2 linked regions of the Daphnia pulex genome follow. The protein of the gene in region 1 binds, or shares a complex with, the protein of each later gene. Links are inferred from orthologs where the notes say so. Each region holds a gene or a part of one and is shown in the gene's direction. Other genes may lie near its edges.

Evidence for each region.
Region 2: the proteins of regulator of MON1-CCZ1 complex-like (region 1) and protein SAND-like are in contact, whole or in part, in a cryo-EM structure (PDB 8JBE), measured with the Drosophila melanogaster proteins. The link is inferred for Daphnia pulex from reciprocal best matches to the Drosophila melanogaster genes Bulli and Mon1. Residues at the interface, in NP_648047.2 of Drosophila melanogaster: Ile561, Arg565, Lys568, Asp590, Leu592, His595, Ser596, Arg599, Phe600, Met603, Phe631, Pro632; in NP_608868.1 of Drosophila melanogaster: Pro416, Glu417, Arg419, His438, Pro439, Glu445, Arg448, Met473, Lys474, Glu475, Arg476, Glu494, Pro495, Val496.

The regions. Positions count from the first base shown.
Region 1 is NC_060018.1:4,527,492-4,531,528, reverse strand, and holds regulator of MON1-CCZ1 complex-like, read left to right. Parts: upstream 1-1,233; 5' UTR 1,234-1,440; coding exon 1,441-2,514; intron 2,515-2,580; coding exon 2,581-3,171; intron 3,172-3,242; coding exon 3,243-3,382; intron 3,383-3,451; coding exon 3,452-3,630; intron 3,631-3,695; coding exon 3,696-3,766; 3' UTR 3,767-3,881; downstream 3,882-4,037. UniProt on the Drosophila melanogaster protein: Positive regulator of the Rab7 guanyl-nucleotide exchange activity of the Mon1-Ccz1 complex, possibly by enhancing its endosomal membrane association.
Region 2 is NC_060026.1:14,676,651-14,680,628, forward strand, and holds the start of protein SAND-like, read left to right. Parts: upstream 1-1,173; 5' UTR 1,174-1,199; coding exon of another isoform or gene 1,200-1,249; 5' UTR 1,250-1,309; exon of another isoform or gene 1,310-1,331; intron 1,332-1,386; exon of another isoform or gene 1,387-1,400; 5' UTR 1,401-1,580; coding exon 1,581-1,964; intron 1,965-2,024; coding exon 2,025-2,161; intron 2,162-2,224; coding exon 2,225-2,422; intron 2,423-2,478; coding exon 2,479-2,573; intron 2,574-2,638; coding exon 2,639-2,787; intron 2,788-2,856; coding exon 2,857-3,035; intron 3,036-3,109; coding exon 3,110-3,230; intron 3,231-3,313; coding exon 3,314-3,598; intron 3,599-3,679; coding exon 3,680-3,766; intron 3,767-3,833; coding exon 3,834-3,887; 3' UTR 3,888-3,978. Other genes in the region: LIM and senescent cell antigen-like-containing domain protein 1, read right to left, coding at 1-47, 114-226, 288-392, 473-762. UniProt on the Drosophila melanogaster protein: Part of the Mon1-Ccz1 guanyl-nucleotide exchange factor complex specific for Rab7 that promotes the exchange of GDP to GTP, converting Rab7 from an inactive GDP-bound form into an active GTP-bound form.

The DNA.
Region 1 (4,037 bases):
TTATTTTACTTGCATTTTGTGGTTTCATTGTTATTTAGATACAGTCAAGCTTCCAGGAGAAAATTTTCAAGCCTCATCACATGCGGGCCAGTCACCTCGCTCTGATGGTAGCTCTGTTAAATCTGTTGTTCTAAACTCGGCCGAAGAGCTTTACGCTGATTTGAGGTGAAATTTTGAATCAGACAAATTTTGATTCCGACAGTTTTAAAGTTATTTATTTTCGCAGGGACAAGAACTTTTCAGCCGTGGGTACTGCACTCAGTCGCAAAGCTAAAGCTATTTCAGCTCAGTAGCCTGGATAACGCCATTGTTGCATTTGGAGGTGTTAAGGTTTCTGCATTCGCACGCGATAGTGGAGAAATATTCCTAGACTCCTTCGATGATTCGGTAATCATGGTAAGTTTAAACTCAATAATATTTCTCCAGCAGTTTTTTTCATCGGGATTTTTTTTTCTTGTGTATTCTCTTTAGATCAACCCGGATATACCTGATGAAAGGGAGCTGAGGGAGTGGCTTAAAGACAATCAGTAAACAAATCCTTTTTTACTGACTGTCTGAAGATCTTAATTACTTGACGTCCTTAAACATCGACTGCAGCTAATTGCCTCCATCTTTTCGCGAATTGTTGCCTCCATCTGTTTCCCTGAATTGTTGCCTTGCCTCAAACTTTTTTCCTAAAATATGGCTTCGATCTTGTAACCTGAACTGTTGCCTCGATGTTGTACCCTGAACTGTTGCCTTTTTACCTCAGCCCTTGTGATGGAGAAATTGGACCACTGTCTGAGTTTAACTCAAGAATTTACATTGTTTATTATTTTATTTCGTAAATGATACAGAAAAAAAATCCAGGAAATTACAATAAACAAAATCTTACGAAATTCCTACATTTTAATTTTTGAAAATATAAGCAAAAGCTTTTAACTGATATCTTGCCCGTTAATACCCGAGGGCGAACCTGGAAGGGTCTTGTCTTTTTTTAAGAACATTGTTTTTGTAAAAATTTTGCCAAAACTGTGAAGGCTGGCAGACGCTCGAAATCAAGTATTGGCGCTTTGTTTACAAATATTTAAAAATAATGAATAATATTGAATGTGAGATTTGTTTTGTATAGCTATCAATTATGAGCTACACACATTTATTTTTAAATTAATTTAATAATTATTATTTAAATTATATTATTTTTTAAAGATAAATGAAATTATGCAAACTTGCACAACGAGGGGGGACTGACTTCATAATAGCCTAGCAGACGACATAATCGTGTTGTGATTTTTATCGTGAAATCGAAAGTTGGTGGGGAGAAATTGTAGATGAATTCGCAGTAGAAAAAGTTAATCATTCGATAGCCGGATTTTATATGTTGTGATATTTAAGGCCCAGTTATTTGTTCAAACATTTTCTTCAAATCCACGAGGTATATCAGAAAGTGAAAGAAGAAAAATGTCTCGCACCACAATCGAAACTACCGAAGCGAGTTTTTTACTCCAATTAAGTCAAACTGCAATTCACTTTGAACCTGTTACAAAAATCACAAATGTTTTCTACGATGAAGTGACTCGCCAGGTCTTCACAGTTCGATCCGGGGGAGCAACAGGAGTAAACGTCAAAGGCCCAAGGATGAAAAATCCTATAAATTTCCGAGTTGAAGATAAAGGAGCAGTACTTTCTATTAAATTCTCACCTGATCAACAGATCTTAGCAATTCAGAGAACTTCAAAATCAGTTGAATTTCAAAATTTTTCAAATCAAGTGCCTGATGGTGTAGAATACTCTCAACCCTGTAGAGGAAGTTCAACTGTTATTGTTGGATTTGTTTGGGTTTCAAACACAGACTTTATTCTGATAACTAATCAGGGAATAGAGCACTATCAAGTTGTGCCTGAAAAAAGATGCCTGAGAGCTGTGAAAAACCACAGTATTCAAAGCAACTGGTTTGTATATTGTCCCCTGTCTGGACTTTTATTGGTATCATCTGGCCCACTTGGTACTAGTCTTCAGCCCTATCTCTTCAAAAACCATCAGCTTCTACGTCTTACCAAATTTGAAGTCGACATTCCAAATCCTCCACAACCTGCACGTCTTTGCCTAGTCGAGAGAGACGTCACACCAACCATGCTTTACAATCAAATGGTAGTACTCGTCCTTAAGCATCCAATTAAACCAAATTCTACGGTCGGACGAGAGACCCCAGCATCAGGAAATTCGGAAATTGTCGTTTACACTTTGTGCAAAGACGCCCCTCCCCGGAAAACTCACGTACTTCAATTGGAAACCAGTGGCAAACTAGCTGTAAGCATCTTGGACAACTTGATTATTGTCCACCATCAAGCCTCTAAGACGTCATCCATTTTTGACATAAACTTGACGGGTGAATCAGACGGTCGAGTGATGACGTTGCATCCGTTCCTAGCATCCGTTACTATTCGCCCATACTTCCTCAACATCCCCGCTTCAGCCGCTATGCTGAACCACGAACCTTCTCAGATGAGTTGTGAGCTATATTCTCCAAACTGGGTAAATTCATTTGTGCTGTAAATATATGTACGTTTAATGTTTATTCGTTTGCTTTATTAAAAACAGGTATTTTTTCAATCCAACATCATTATCGACGCTCTATTAGGATGCCTTTGGAGTCTGGAACTAGTCCTAACTCCTTTGATTGATATGGTTGACAATCCTTGTGAATTGTTTGACTTCCTCCTGCAGAGAACGGAATCCAAATCGACTGTGATGGCACTCTTGAGTCGATTAATGTGCTATTCTCATTCAGTGGGAGCCGATGTGCCTGTCCTTGGCCGAGTATTCGATAAACTCAACGAAGCATACCGTAACCATTTGGACATTGAGATTCAGAGTCAGATCGCCATGCCAGCTGGTGCGTTTCAGTTGAGTACCGGATCTTCTTCACGACGACCCAATGTGGTTATTGACCAGACTGATGTCTACTCTCGTATCTTGTCACCCATGACGGAAAGCAAGCCAATGGATGAGACGCATGACCGTTTTATTGTGGCTGTCGTCAACGAGTACATTCGATCCCTCGTCCAATATCACATTCCAGTACAGCACTTTATTTATGAAGTACTCATCGAAGCTTTTGCACGTTTGGGACAGTTCTACCAGCTTCACCAGCTCTTCCAGTACCACGCAGTAGCTGATTCGAAACCTTTGGTATAAATACGCAAAATTGACTGTCATAATATAACCGCGGAAATACGCTTATTATATACGTTTCACTTCAGGCGTGCCTCCTGCTTTCGTTAGAAAGTGTATATCCAGCGGCGTATCAGCTCGCAGTCGACATGCTTAAGCGGATTTCAAATGCCAATGAAGAAATTGTAGAAATCCTGCTGTCCAAGAACAAAGTCCTGTCGGCATTAAGGTACTTTTGGCAGCCACATAAAGAGTTGTTTTGCCCTCAAGTCCATTAATGAACATTCATCTGCAACAGGTTCGCTCGGGATACAATTCCGGTTGAAAGCATATCAGCTCGCAAATTTCTCGAAGCGGCTCAAAACTCTCAGGATCCCTCCGTTTTTTATGGTGTCTACCAGTACTTTCAACAACGCAACCGGCGCGTTCGTGGAAGTTTAGCATTTTTGAAAGGAGAACACTGCGAAGTGTATATCCGTAAGTCGAAATCATTAGTTTAGTGTACTACAAGTATTTTTTTAAAGTTATTTTTCTTTTTATAGGTCATTTTAAGTTACTTTTCGGCGATGGTGATTGCAGTACTAGTCTAACCGATTCGCTATCAATGGGATAGCAAAGGAAAAAATAAAACACGTGACGGAGCCCATAGGACGAAACTGATAGCAAAGACTAGTTGTATTTTTCACGTCTCATTCTTTCATGTGATTATACATATATATATATATATATAGATTTTGAGTTCCATAGTTGCGAGGGACTCGGCGGCGATGGCAAAAGGATTTTTAGTATGTTTTAAGGAGAATCTATTGCACTCCAAAACAAGTACGTTAAATCAAATTATTCCTTTTGTTCTCTCGCTCATACTTAACATGTAAAGAGAAGGT
Region 2 (3,978 bases), on another chromosome or scaffold:
CCAATTGGCATTCATTGCTTTAATAACACGACCGATGATAAATTCACCTAAGAATACAAAAAATGCGTTATTATTTAAAAATCTATGAATTAGTCAATCGATTTAACGCTTACCACAGCGACCGCAACAAGGAGCAAAGAGCATCTGAAAATCATGCTCACAATACTTGCGACCCTCAAACTCGTAAAAAATTCCTTCTGGAAAGGAGCGAAAGCATTGAGCGCACCTGTGAAAGATTAAGAAATTAGAATTCAATTTCAAGTAAAAATGTTGGTGTGAGTACTTACACAAAGCACTGGGGATGCCACAGCTCTCCATTTGTATTGACAATCTTTTCATGAGGCTCAAAACCATAATCACACCTCACACATTGGGTGTTCTTGTACATATCGCTTTAAAGTTCAAACCATTATTAGTTTCTTGAAATTCAGAATGTGTGAAATCTACTATACTAACTGTTAAACCACAATACCTATCAATATTACTAGGTTTAAGGTTTCTAGAAGGAAGTTTAGGAGGGCTGTTAGCATAAGTATTTTTTAAAATGTAAGTTTGAACTGAATTCAAGCTAGGTATCTGAGGAAGTGGTTGATTTTGAATTCCCTTCGGAACATCATTAGATGTAAGGTCTTCAAGCAAACCCTCAAGTTCATTTACTTCACTTGCACTTGCACTTGGTTTCATCTTATCCTCCATTCTTCTAAGGTAAAGGTTACTATTTTCAAAGGGTTTAAGAACAAGAATGTTAGGTCTTTTTGCCATGGTGAAAAATGGAGTTTCTTCAGTGAACACAACCGAAATGTCCAGCAATTTATGGGGTGAAGAACGGCAATTGATAACTAAATGTGTTATCTCATGTGTGGCCACTTCAAGAGCTTATTAATATCAGTAATAGTATTTATCTTATCAATAGCTTACCCAGGCGGCATTTGAAATGAACACAACGATAAAATAAACTCAATAACTATAAGAACTTCAACAGATTGTAGAGACCTGTGGACGAAATCGGGTGCTAACACCAACACAAACCGCGCCCGTTCAGAGATCAGCCCAAATAAGGAGATAATTTTGTGAAAAAAGTGAAAGGGACTAAAATGCGGGAAAAAAGCTAAGAGAAACGCAAAAATACTATGTGCTAAAATTGATAAAATTCCTTGTAAAAAAATTAACATTTGGTTCTCGCATTTTTTAAAATTTACCTTAATTCGGATTGAGCCCCGACGAATTTCGAAATCGTTGTTTTAGACATTTCCCTTCTTTTTCTTTATCATTTTACCGCATCTTCTAAATCCACGATTTACTGCATCCGGTCCGTATTATAATGTTTTGATTGACTTGTAGAGCCATCTGGTGGTCATTCAACGAACTCGATTAATTAATTGTTGTCTTTTCGATATCAGTATATAAAAAGCACACCATTACCTTTGTAAAATTAATTTTCTCTGCATTTGTGACGTTTTTCAATTATCGGAACTTCAACCCATTTTATTGTGACATCTGACATTAAACGCCGCCCTCTGTACACGCCCCTTCAAAACACGCCGCCAGGTGATGTAAGAAGCATAATTTTGATAGTAAACATGGCTTCAGAAGTAGTAGATTGCGAAATTATTGTTTCGAATTCGGTTAACAATTTTGATGCAGCTACTAGCTCCAGTCATGGAATTCTTGACAGCAGTGATCCATATGAAAGTCTAAATAATTTAAGCGGTACCAGAACAAATAGTGATTCCAATGATGTGAGCTTAAACATACAACCTCCTGCAGACCCCGGTTGTACTGATGGTTTTCAGAACGGTGATGTCGGATTATTAGAAATTGCCGTTGAAGCTCAACCTGATTTGATTTTTGAATCAGATCTTGTCTCCAATAACCAAGACCAACAATTTGTACGGCCCAGGGTCTACTTAGAACGAGAGTCTTTCAGCAATCAAAATGAGGATTCCATATCACGTACAACCAATGTGAGATTTACTGAGTAATAATCTCCCCTCAAGATTTGTTAAAAAGCATTAATGAATCAGGCTTCATCAATCTTGGAAGAAAATTCCCTGCCAGCTGCTGCTGGTGATGAAGAGAGTGGATCAGACTCCTTGCTGTGGAAAAATCAAAAGAAACATTTCTTTGTCTTGAGTGAAGCAGGAAAACCCATCTACACAAGGTTGGGTTTGAATTAGCTATTTGTCATTTTTTATAATTAATTGTTTTCCTTTTTAAATTACAGACATGGAAATGAGGAGCAGCTTGTTACCTTATTTGGAGTGATGCAGGCACTTGTTTCATTTGTGGAAGATGGGGAAGACTCCATGGATATGATTTTGGCTGGTGATACCAAATTTGTTTTTCTACACAAAACACCTCTTATTTTGGTAGCTGTTTCGAAATTACGAGATAGTGTACTTCAGTTACAGCTGCAATTAGAGTAATGCAATTATAAATTTTTTAGTTAGTTTCAAATCTAAATTGCTGCCTTTTTAGGTATATCTTCAATCAAATCTCTAGCGTTATTACTCGAGCACACCTTGAAAAAATCTTTGAGCAGAGGCGAAATTACGATCTTCGGAGGCTTTTAGGTATGCCTTGACTTCTTAGTAATCGAGTTAAAATCTTTCCTTTATATAATTATTTGTTTTTTTAGCTGGTTCCGAACGACTCATGGATAATTTGGTCAACTACATGGACACCGATTTTTCCGTTCTACTTGGTGCAGTCAAATGCCTACCGATGCCTTCTTGTGACCGAGATGCGGTCACGCAAACTATCCATCAACAATGTAGCAAAATTAAGGTGTCTTTACAGTTAGAATTCAAATGCTCACGTCTCGGGTGACTAAACATTTTCTTTCCGTTTTTACAGGGCTTAGTCTTCACTGTGTTGATTGGTAACAATCAGTTGATCAGTTTGGTGCGTGTTAACAAAAAGCACCTGCTTCATCCCTCTGATGTACATCTAATCATCAATCTAGTAAACTCATCCGAAACATTTAAAACGGCTGAAGGTTGGACCCCCATATGCCTTCCACATTACGATCCGAGGTCTGGCCCTTATCCATTACAAAACTGCAAAATCAGACATTTTTATTTGTTAATTTTTTATTTTCTCGAATTAGAGCGTTTTTGTACGTTCATGCGTCATACCTGAGTGAAGATTGTCAAGCGTGCCTGCTCTTTTTTACTACCGATCGTGATTCTTTTTTCAGTCTTTCCGATGCCAAAAAGAATATCGTCGATGTAAATTTTTTTTTTTTTTTTTTTTTTTTTTTTTCAGTTTCTTGGCTGCTTAATCTAATCGATATTTTGGTTCCTTTGTCCAGAGACTACGACGCCACAATAACATTCTCGAATCGATCACTCTGGCTTTACATTCGATCTGCCCTATCCTTAGTCAAGTGGGCTGTTCGGATATCCGACATTTTGTGTACAAGTCAAGATTGTCTGCTCAGTACACTTATTCTAATAATGGTCCGCCTTATCAACATGAACAAGGGCAGCTCTATTTAATGGATCTCTACCGACATGTTCACGGTCGCATGCATTCTCCATCACGCCCATTGAAAATGATGTGTCACACTGCTGAAAAAGAGATACTTTTTGGCTTGGTAAGTTGTTTCAAAATAAAATGGCTCACCTTTTTTAGATTTACTTACTAATAATATGATTTATCTTCAATATCTTATCAGGTTACTCCTACTTATGAACTATATATGGTCGTAGAGCCGATGACGACAAAAGCGGCAATAATGAACGCGGCCAATGCTATACTTAAGGTAATTGAATGGCTCCGATGTACTGAATCCACATTTATAGGTTGATTGTTATTATGTTCCCCTTTAGTGGAGTAAGCGTGAAGAAGAAATCCACTTCATCACTACTTCAGGAAGTTGGTAAAGTACCGAATGCAGCCTTCCTTTACATTCACCTTCGTTTTTCATGCATCATGATATATTTAGACTTCCAGATTTATCTGTTATGGTTGTGT